Linked DNA regions of Canis lupus familiaris. The protein of the gene in region 1 interacts with the protein of each later gene in a biochemical or structural test. Links are inferred from orthologs where the notes say so. Each region holds a gene or a part of one and is shown in the gene's direction. Other genes may lie near its edges. The genes, in order: PML, CHEK2 and MAPK7.

The links.
Region 2: the proteins of PML (region 1) and CHEK2 form a complex in vitro, tested with the Homo sapiens proteins (2 studies listed by BioGRID, with this or other methods). The link is inferred for Canis lupus familiaris from reciprocal best matches to the Homo sapiens genes PML and CHEK2.
Region 3: the proteins of PML (region 1) and MAPK7 form a complex in vitro, tested with the Homo sapiens proteins (2 studies listed by BioGRID and IntAct, with this or other methods). The link is inferred for Canis lupus familiaris from reciprocal best matches to the Homo sapiens genes PML and MAPK7.

What each region holds. Positions count from the first base shown.
Region 1 is NC_049251.1:37,693,924-37,697,572, forward strand, and holds part of PML (protein PML), read left to right. Parts: intron 1-252; exon of another isoform or gene 253-585; intron 586-3,146; coding exon 3,147-3,649.
Region 2 is NC_049247.1:22,510,141-22,514,275, reverse strand, and holds the start of CHEK2 (serine/threonine-protein kinase Chk2), read left to right. Parts: upstream 1-1,293; 5' UTR 1,294-1,387; coding exon 1,388-1,519; intron 1,520-1,606; exon of another isoform or gene 1,607-2,051; intron 2,052-3,729; coding exon 3,730-4,057; intron 4,058-4,135. Other genes in the region: iron-sulfur cluster co-chaperone protein HscB, read right to left, coding at 661-896. UniProt on the Homo sapiens protein: Serine/threonine-protein kinase which is required for checkpoint-mediated cell cycle arrest, activation of DNA repair and apoptosis in response to the presence of DNA double-strand breaks.
Region 3 is NC_049226.1:41,046,262-41,048,951, reverse strand, and holds the end of MAPK7 (mitogen-activated protein kinase 7), read left to right. Parts: coding exon 1-345; intron 346-451; coding exon 452-1,107; intron 1,108-1,501; coding exon 1,502-1,635; intron 1,636-1,782; coding exon 1,783-1,936; 3' UTR 1,937-2,190; downstream 2,191-2,690. UniProt on the Homo sapiens protein: Plays a role in various cellular processes such as proliferation, differentiation and cell survival. The upstream activator of MAPK7 is the MAPK kinase MAP2K5.

The sequences.
Region 1 (3,649 bases):
GGCCTCAGGTGGGCTATCGTTGCTAGTGAGAACAAATTACAGCAATATTTCTGGGGAAATGACTAACAGTATTTTCCTGGGAGTGTTGGAAGAGGCAGCATTGGAGTGTTTGAGACCATGGACTTGAGCCAGACTGCCTGGGGTTTTATGGTAGTTTCCTATGGCTGCTGTAACAAATTACTGCAAATTTGGGAGCTTAAAACATTACAAATTGATTTTCTTTTCTACACCTTTATGTATTTACTTGTAAGTTTAAATTCTTGAGGGGTACAGCATCACATGAATTCTATGACCAATGGCTTTAGCAGGAAGGTTGCTTGGGAATTTGGCATGAACCATGCCACTGCTTCCACAAGCATGAATTGCTTCTCCCCAGACTACTCTGGTTTGGTTTGTTTTGCCACCGGGAGTCACCCTGTTGTTCTTTGCTTTGTTCACGTAAGCATAGCTCTTGCCTGGATGGAATTCAGTTTCATCTCACGCATAAACACCTTCAATTTTAAGAAGATCTGTGTGCTCCCTCTGGTTCTGGAAACCCCACGTATAGCCAGCAAACACGGCCTAGCACCACAGCCCTGTGGACATACTTGTCATTCTAAGAGTCCTGTTCCCAGCAAGCGTCCACAGGCCCTGGGACGGCTGGGTGGCTCAGCAGTTGAGCGTTTGCCTTTGGCTCAGGGCATGGTCCTGGTGCTGGGATCGAGTCCCACATCAGGCTCCCTGCGAGGAGCCTGCTTCTCTCTCTGCCTACATTGTGTATCTCCCTCTGCCTCTCTCTGTGTATCTCTCATGAATAAATAAATAAGATCTTTAAAAAAAAAGGAAAAAAAAGCCTCCACAGGCCCCAAGATGGTAGGAAGAGAAAGGTATAGCGAAATATCACAAAGTTGTTATTATTATGTACCTCTGGAGGTCAGAAGCCTGAAACGGGTTTCACTGAGATAAAATCAAGGTGTCAGTAGGGCCGTGTTCCTTCTGGAGGCTCTTGGGGAGAATCTGTCTTCTTGCCTTTTCCAACTTCTAGGGGCTGCCTTGGTTCATGACCCCGGTCCATCTTCAAAGCCAGCAGGATAGCATCATGAGACCTCTGCTTCCATGATCAAATCTTCTTCCTCACGCCTGCCTGCTTCCCCCTCTATTTTCCTTATAAGGACCCTCGTGATTATACTGGGTCCACCCAGATAATCCAAGATAATCTTCCCATCCCGGATCCTTAACTTAATCACATGTACTAAGTCCTTGCCATCATATAAGGTAACATACACAGGTTCTGGGGATTATTAGTACATTTTCTGCCTACTACAGTTTGTCTCTAGAGTCTATCACTCACTAATTGTGTCACCTTGGACAAGTCATTGTACCTCTTGTTCAGGTTCCCCATCATTAAAATGAGGATATAGGGATCCCTGGGTGGCGCAGCGGTTTGGCGCCTGCCTTTGGCCCAGGGCGTGATCCTGAAGACCCGGGATCGAATCCCACGTTGGGCTCCCGGTGCATGGAGCCTGCTTCTCCCTCTGCCTGTGTCTCTGCCTCTCTCTCTCTCTCTCTCTGTGTGTGTGACTATTATAAATAAATAAAAATTTAAAAAAATAAAATAAAATAAAATAAAATAAAATAAAATGAAGATATAAGGGCAGCCCAGGTAGTTCAACGGTTTAGCGCTGCCTTCAGCCCAGGGTGTGATCCTGGAGACCCAGGATCGAGTCCCGCGTCGGGCTCCCTGCATGGAGCCTGCTTCTCCCTCTACCTGTGTCTCTGCCTCTCTCTGTGTCTCTCATGAGTAAAATAATAAAATCTTTTTTAAAAAAATGAAGATATAATAATTCCTACTCTGTAGGACTGTTAGGAGGATTAAAAGGGTTGATATTCCTCAAGTGTTTATAATAATGCCATAGAAGTGTCTGCTAGCTAAAATATATTAAATAACTAAAAGCATGCATACGGTTTGATTTAGCACTCCTATCATTTGTAACCTATTTCATAGAACAGAAGACGCGTTAGGCCACATAAAGCGGCCTAACATTGTCCATATTGGCATTAAGGGGCGGGGGGAGTACAAATAGGAAATCACTGGATTGTCCATAACGGGAGACTGACTGGATCAGTTGTGGTACACATGGAATTTAAGGGAGCTTTTTTTTTTTTAATATTTTATTTATTTATTCATGATAGACCATGAGAGAGAGAGAGGCAGACACAGGCAGAGGGGGAAGCAGGCCCCATGCTGGGAGCCCAACGCGGGACTGGATCCCGGGACTCCAGGATCACGCCCTGGGCCAAAGGCAGGCACTGAACCACTGAGCCACCCAGGGATCCCCTTTCAGGGAGCTTTTAAAGAGAATACGTTAGACCCATACTCATCAGACCTCCAGGAATGTTGTCCTAAGCAAAAGTTAAATTAGAGGAGGAAGTTACAGAGTCATGACTCATGATCTCATTTGTAGCATGATCCTTCTTGTAAACCAAGTATCAACCTACTAGAATTGTTGTAGATACTTGGGGCAATTATTTAACCTCTGAGGGCCTCTGTTTCTTCACCTGTGAAATGAGGGTAACGGTAGCTCTCCTCGCCTCTGAAACTCTAGTGAGGATTACACGGGATGCGTCGCCTCAGCTCCTTAAGATCCTTTCGAGCAGCTGCATAGCCTGGCTATCTGTGCAAAGTGGTTTAAAGCAGACAGAGGGCTGGAAGGAGGCATCCGGACGCTCATCTGGTTGCTCGCAGGAAGGGAAAGGAAGTTCAGAAGTGTGTGAAGCACTGATCCCCTGTGTGTGTGGAGGCTAGCTGGAGGCTGGGTGGAGGCTAGCTGGAGGCTGGGTGGAGGCTAGGGGGAGGCTGGGTGGAGGCTGGGTGGAGGCTAGCTGGAGGCTGGGTGGAGGCTGGGTGGAGGCTAGCTGGAGGCTGGGTGGAGGCTAGCTGGAGGCTGGGTGGAGGCTGGGTGGAGGCCAGCGGTTGGAACCTCAGTACCTTTCCCTGTGCTAATGCTTTATTGGTGGTTTGGACACCATCGCGCTGGCCACAGACGGAACCGGGGAACATGCCACGATTCGAGGTCACCCTCGAAGGGGAGTCTCCCTAGGAGAGCTGGGGGGCGGGGGGGGGGCGCAGGAGAGCCCTCAACCGCGCCGGCCTCGTGTGTCCGCAGCATCTACTGCCGAGGCTGCTCCAAGCCGCTGTGCTGCTCGTGCGCGCTCCTGGACAGCAGCCACGGCGAGCTCAAGTGCGACATCAGCGCGGAGATCCAGCAGCGCCAGGAGGAGCTGGACACCATGGCCCGGGTGCTGCAGGAGCAGGACGGCGCCTTCGGGGCGGCGCACGCGCAGATGCACTCGGCCGTCAGCCAGCTGGGCCGCGCGCGCGCCGACACCGAGGCGCTGATCCACGCACGGGTGCGCCAGCTGGTGGAGCACGTGCTGGCGCGGGAGCAGGAGCTGCTCGCGGGGGTCACGGCGCGGTACCAGCGCTGCTACGAGGAGCTGGCGGGCCGCATGGGCCGCCTGGAGGCCGTGCTGCAGCGCATCCGCACGGGGAGCGCGCTGGTGCGCAGGATGAAGCTCTACGCCTCGGACCAGGAGGTGCTGGACATGCACGGCTTCCTGCGCGACGCGCTCCACCGCCTGCGCCAGGAGGAGCCCCACGACCTGCACA
Region 2 (4,135 bases), on another chromosome or scaffold:
TGTCCACAATCCTGGAGGCTCCTTTACTCCCTTATTATTATTTTTTAAAGGTTTTATTTATTTGTTCATGAGACACACACACACACACACAAACACACAGGGGCAGACACACAGTCAGAGGGAGATGCAGGCTCCCTGCAGGGAGCCCGATGTAGGACTCGATCCCAGGACCCCAGGATCACGCCCTGAGCCAAAGGCAGATGCTCAACCGCTGAGCCACCCAGGTGCCCCCCTACTCCCTTCTCTTGATAACACCTAAGTACCCCTTTCTTATAAGTCTCAACCCAACTTTAACCATTCTGGCCCTGTCGCTCAAGTCTTTCTCCAGCCCCTCCAGGTCGCTTCCGTCAGGCACCCCCCCCAGGTCTCCCTCCACCGAAGCCTCCACCTTTCAGACCCCCTAAACGCCTTCCCCCCCTCCCCTCCCGCCATTCGGGTCTCCACTCCTGAGGCCCCAAGCTCAGTCCCACCCCTCAATTTCCTGTGGCACGGGCCGCAATCCCACCCCGGCGCTCCCGGGCCCCACCCCCCTTCTCTACGGCTCCGCCCACCAGGCTAACCGGTCCCGCCCTCTCCTCCCCAGGCACTCTCGGCCCTAGCCCCTCGCAGGCCGGCCCACGCCTCTCTCGTTCGCGCGTTTCCCGAAACCGCCTCCCGTACCAGTCCATGAGGCTGAAGTAATCTCGAGTGGGGTCAGGCGGCTGCAGCGCGCGGCACTGTGGGCAGAAGAACCCGTCCCCCCGCGTGGGGCCCCCGGGGCCGCCGCAGTTCCAACACTGGGAGGAACCGCTCCCCGCCAGAGACGCAGCATCGCAGCTCAGCGGTCTCCTTCCGAGGGCCCCTGCCGGCCACAGCCCGCACACCCGGAGCAAGGCGCCGGTCCTCCCGCCCCACATCTGGCCGCGGCCTAGGTCGCCGCGGGCGCCTGGGGCGGGGGGGGACCGGGAGAGAGAGATGGAGAGCGACTGAGCAGACTAGTGCTGCTGATTGGCTGGGGGAGCTGACGGGGCGGGATCACCCGGTGGGGGCGGGAGGAGGGGAACCTGGACTCGGAGTGTCCCGCTCCTCATTTTAAACTACAACTCCCAGCAAGCATTGAGGCTACGTGTGGACGGCCACATCCGCTGCTCTTCATTGGTCCGGCGGCGAAGGCGGGGTGTTTTGATTGGCTGAGGGTGGAGTTTGTATGTGCTTGGTTAGCGCCACTCTGCTTGGATGTAGCTGCTGTGAGTGTTGGCTCTAGGTGGGCTCACGCGGTGAGTCGTAGTGGGGAACTTCTCCTGGGTGTTGGGGGGTTCGAGTCCCGTCCCCAGGGTCTTAATCCGCGCCGAACCTCCCGAGTTTCCACTTTGTGCGTTTTTTGACCTCGGTTAGGGTGAGGAGAGGAATGTGTGGGCGACTGTCTTCCTTTGTAGATGAACTTCGAAGTGAAGTTCACTTCCCCTGTTACTTACAAGCTGAAACTGGCCCAGACGTGCAGGATGAGAAAGGACGAAGTTGTGTTCTTCAAAATCAGAGGGTAACTGATTTTGATCTAGCCAGTCGTTGCTTTGTAAAGAGTTATATAAATGGTAGCAATTATTACCATATTTTAGATTCAATTTCGAAAAAAACCTGTTGAGAACTCAATCTTAGCAGCTGGGCGCTGCAGGAACTGGGGCACACTGACTTGTGTAGGAGGATGCCCTGCGAGTGTCCATAAGTGAGTGTGTGGGATAAGAAAGGGTAGGAGGGCACCAGCCCACCCTGGGACTCAGTTTCTCTATTCGGAAAAAAAAAAAATGCGTTGCACTTATCAACCCCTTTCCGCTGTCGTATTCTTTGGGACTGGAATTATATTCTCCCAACTATCGAGCAGTACCGGAGGAAGAACATTCCTATATCATCTCATTTAATCCTCAAGATCTCTCTACCTAGTGAAGTTGTGATCTACCTGAAGATCCTGCAGAGCTTTGAGTCAGGCATCTGACTCCAGACTTGTCTCTAATCTTTCTATATACTTTCTCCTCATCGCTGAGGCTAGTGTGGTTTTCGTTTGCTGGACCATTAAGGTAAGCGAGGATAATAGCCACTTCTTGACAGTCTTTTGCCAGTTCTCAGGGCAGAGAAGTTTTGCTCAAAAAGCTGTGAAAGATTGCACCCTTGACTGAGGTAGTAGTATTAAAGCACGAGGTCCTGGAGTGGCACACTCAGCTCTGGCATCATCTTCCTGGTGTGGTTTAAGAAAAAGTCATCAGGATCTTTGTATCTAGAAAGCTGTATAAATGCAGTCAATGTGAGTAATGTCTACTATGTTCTCCTTGGAGGAATAGCCTGAGTATGGGTATCTGGAGAGAAGAGACAATGCACTCCCCCCCCCCCCCCTTTATAAAAATCAGATTAGAAATTTAAAGTTAAGGATCGACTGTTACTTTGACTTTACTGTAGTTTCTGTTATCAGAATTTAACAGTCCATCAAATTAATTCTAAAGTGGGGGTGGGAACCTGTCAAGGTCTCCTGTGACTCCAATTTTTTTCTGTAGGATTCTACAAAATCCTAAGGGCTAGAAGGCCATTTAGGATGCTGAAAAGGTGTGCCCTTATGGTTACTCAGCATAACAAAGGGCTAGGTGGAGTTGTTTAGAGTAGTCTTCTTTGTGATGTGCTTCATTAATAGGCTGGCCTTTAGTTAGGAGTCAGGGAATCTAGAGTGAACAAACAGGATGTGGTCTTCATCATCCTGGGGCAGGCTTGGGGGAGGAGGGGTATCTGATATTTTATGTAAATGGTCACCCCTGGCAAGGTGCAGTGAATTATAGTTTCTCTTTGCTATCTTCTACCCCCAAGCCACATGGCCCTCCCCCTTCTTTCTTGTTCCAAAACATGAAATTTAAGTGTAGTGTTGATTGTATTAATGAATATCTTTTAGGTTTCATTTCTAGTTTTTAAAAATTAGATGAATATAAGCTGTTATGAGTCTTCCACCCCTAATTTAGTTCATTTCTTTTAACTTATTTATAAACTTCAAATAATTTCTTTCTTTTCCCTGTGATTTGTGGCTGTCATAACAGAAAAATGATCCAGTGAAAGTGATATAATGAAAAGCTCATCTCAGAAGAACTGTAGATCAATCTAGACTTAGAATTTTAACTTTAAAAAAAAAAAAAAAGAATTTTAACTTTTGCAGAACATGCTTGCTCTGAATTTTTTTTTCCTGATGTAAATTTGCCCATCCTTCACTTTTTTTTTTTTTTTTTTGAGAGAGAGAGAGATAGCCCTTGCATGGGGGTGGGGAAGTGGAGGGGCAGAGGGAGAGGGAGAGAGAGAATCCCAAGCAGGCTCCATGCCCAGAGCCGGCATGCTGCAGGGCTCATCTCATGACCCTGAGATTAGGACTTGAGCTGAACTCAGGAGTTGATGCTTAACCAACTGACCCATCCAGGCGCCCCTGCCCATTCTTTTTTTTTTTTTTTAATTTTTAAAAAAATTTTTATTTATTTATGATAGTCACAGAGAGAGAGAGAGGGAGGGAGAGAGAGAGGCAGAGACACAGGCAGAGGGAGAAGCAGGCTCCATGCACCGGGAGCCCAATGTGGGATTCGATCCCGGGTCTCCAGGATTGCGCCCTGGGCCAACAGCAGGCGCCAAACTGCTGCGCCACCCAGGGATCCCCCCCTGCCCATTCTTTACTTTTGAACTTCAAGTCTTGTTCCTTGAAACTTACCTTATTATTGAACACTTATTTTTGAGGTCGTGATGTCTCGGGAGACGGATGTGGAGTGTCAGCAGTCCCATGGCAGTGGTGCTTGTTCGCAGTCCCAAGGCACTTTCTCACAGTCTCAAGGCATCTCCTCGCAGACACACGGCTCCTCCTCACACTCTCAGGGCACATCCAGCTCCACCAGCACAGCACCCACATCTAGCCAGTCGTCTCACTCCAGCTCAGGGACCCTGAGCTCCTTAGACACAGTGTCCACCCAGGAACTCTGTTCTATTCCTGAGGACCAGGAACCTGAAGAGCCTGTCCCTGCCCCTTGGGCTCGATTATGGGCCCTTCAGGATGGATTCCCCAATCTTGGTAAGACTGTTTGATATATTGTATAATATTTTAATTGTTCACAAACACAGTTACAGATAGTTGTAGCAGAAAGCTCAA
Region 3 (2,690 bases), on another chromosome or scaffold:
AAGAGGCTATAGTGGCGGAGATCGAGGACTTCCATGCACGACGTGAGGGCATCCGCCAACAGATCCGCTTCCAGCCTTCCCTGCAGCCTGTGGCCAGTGAACCTGGCTGCCCTGATGTTGAGATGCCCAGTCCCTGGGCTCCCAGCGGGGACTGTGCCATGGAGTCACCTCCACCAGCTCCACCGCCGTGTCCTGGCCCTGCACCTGACACCATTGATCTGACCCTGCAACCACCCCTGCCAGCTAGTGAACCAGCCCCTCCGAAGAAGGAGGGTGCCATCTCAGACAACACCAAGGCAGCCCTCAAAGCCGCCCTGCTCAAGTCCTTGCGGAGCCGGCTCCGAGGTGCCTTGCGGAGGCAGCAGCTGGCCAGGGAGCGGGGTTGCAGAGGGGTACTCCCAGTTTGGACAGGCCGCAGACTCTTATCTTCTCCCTGCCAACTTCTCTGCAGATGGCCCCAGTGCTCCTCTGGAAGCTCCTGAGCCTCGAAAGCCGGTGACTGCCCAGGAGCGTCAGCGGGAGCGGGAGGAGAAGCGGCGGAGGCGGCAAGAGCGAGCCAAGGAGCGGGAGAAGCGGCGGCAGGAGCGGGAACGCAAGGAGCGGGGGGCCGGGACCTCTGGGGGTCCGTCCACCGATCCCCTGGCTGGGCTGGTGCTCAGTGACAATGACCGCAGCCTGCTGGAGCGCTGGACTCGCATGGCCCGGCCCGCAGCCCCCACAGCAGCCCCAGCCCCAGCCCATGCCCCAGTCCCAGCACCCGCCCCAGCTCAGCCCAGCAGTCCTCCTGCTGCCCCCCCACCAAAACCAGCAGGCTCCCCCACTGGTCCTGTACCGCAGCCTGCTTGCCCAGCCCCTGGGCCTGCTCCTCACCCCGCCAGCCCTCCGGGGCCTGTCCCTGGCCCAGCTCCACTCCAGACTGCCACCCCTAGCCTCCTGGCTCCCCCTGCACTTGTGCCACCCTCTGGGCTGCCTGGCCCCGGTGCCGTAGCTGTGCTGCCTTACTTCCCATCTGGCCCGCCCCCTCCAGAGCCCGGAGGGGCCCCTCAGCCCTCCACCTCAGAATCCCCCGACGTCAACCTGGTCACTCAGCAGCTGTCCAAGTCACAGGTGAGAGGCTGTGGAGAAACCTGGATCTGGGCCCAGGGAAAATGGGTTTGAGAAGTCCTTGCTGTTTGGTGGGGGCGGGGGGACAGGAGAGGCTTCAGTGTACCTTTATTCCATGAAAACTGAGTGGCAAATGGGGTTTTATCTCTGAACTTGTCATCTTGCTCTTAGAAGGAGCTCAATGCCAACGAACCGGTTGGGAGATGACTAAGATGCTTCCTAAGTTATGCCTGGTCTGCAGACAGGCCCTTGACTGGCACTCAGCAATTGTCCAGGCTGGTGCTGTCCCCAACGGCTGTCCAGGCAGAGTCACTGACAGGGTCGGGACAGAGTTGCGGGATAACCTCTGTCTGCTCTTGATACTGCCTGTGTTGTAACCTGCTGTCGCCTGTTGCAGGTGGAGGACCCCTTGCCCCCAGTCTTCTCGGGCACTCCAAAGGGCAGTGGGGCCGGCTATGGTGTTGGCTTTGACCTGGAGGAATTCCTAAACCAGTCTTTTGACATGGGAGTGGCTGACGGGCCACAGGATGGGTAAGATGGCTGGACCAAGCTTCTGGAATGGGCCTGTGGGTAGGGTTTCCTGGTGCAGGAGGAGCTTGCCTGTGGGATGGGCAAGGAGCCAGCCTAGGCTAACAGGGCCTCTCCCCTCCGCTCTCCCTGCTTCCCTTTTTCCTGCAGCCAGGCAGACTCAGCCTCACTCTCAGCTTCCCTGCTTGCTGACTGGCTGGAGGGCCACGGCATGAACCCTGCCGACATTGAGTCCCTGCAGCGTGAGATCCAGATGGATTCCCCGATGCTGCTGGCTGACCTGCCGGACCTCCAGGAGCCCTGAGGTCCACAGCCTGTGCCTTGCTGCCCGGGGCGGACCCAGCTACAAGACTCACAGGAACATTTCCAAGAGCTGGAGCCTTGGGCCCAGCAGTGGAAACTCAGCTTCGATTATTCTGCAGGTTCATCTCAGACACACTGCAGCCTTAAGCAGCCACCTGAGCCACCGCCAAGCCACGGCAGGATCAGGAAACCTCTACTCCCTGAGCGATCCTTTTCAGTATTGTATTTTTATTATAATTATTATTATTATATTAATATTGTGACGCCATTTCTTTGCCATCAAAATGAGCCCTGTGAAATATAAGATTCCCTTTAGGGCCTAACTCTAGGTGTCTTTTTAGAGTTGAGGTCAGGGTGTTGTCAGTAGGGGAGCAAGGAGGAGCCAGGTTCTTGTATTTGAGACCCAAGCAAACACGATTGCATGCACGACAGACAGCCAAAGCCAGTTCATTCAGATCCTGAGCTTTATTGAGATCTTCACTCCCCACCTGCTTACAGCCCCTCAGAGGTTGTCCTCTGCCCACCCCCTACCCCCCCACCATGTTCAGACCTCAACTCTAGGGCCGGTGGGGGGACCTGGTATCTATGCCTACCTTGACTGTAGCTGTTTTTAGAGTGGCGTGCAGTAGCTGTGGTGACATACGGATTTAGCATTGAGCTTTGGGGGGCTGGGACAGGCGGGTGGGAGCAGCAGAGTAGGGCCATGAGGTGGGGGTGGGGGTCCATGGTGCTCCCCACTAGGGAATGAGTTGTGG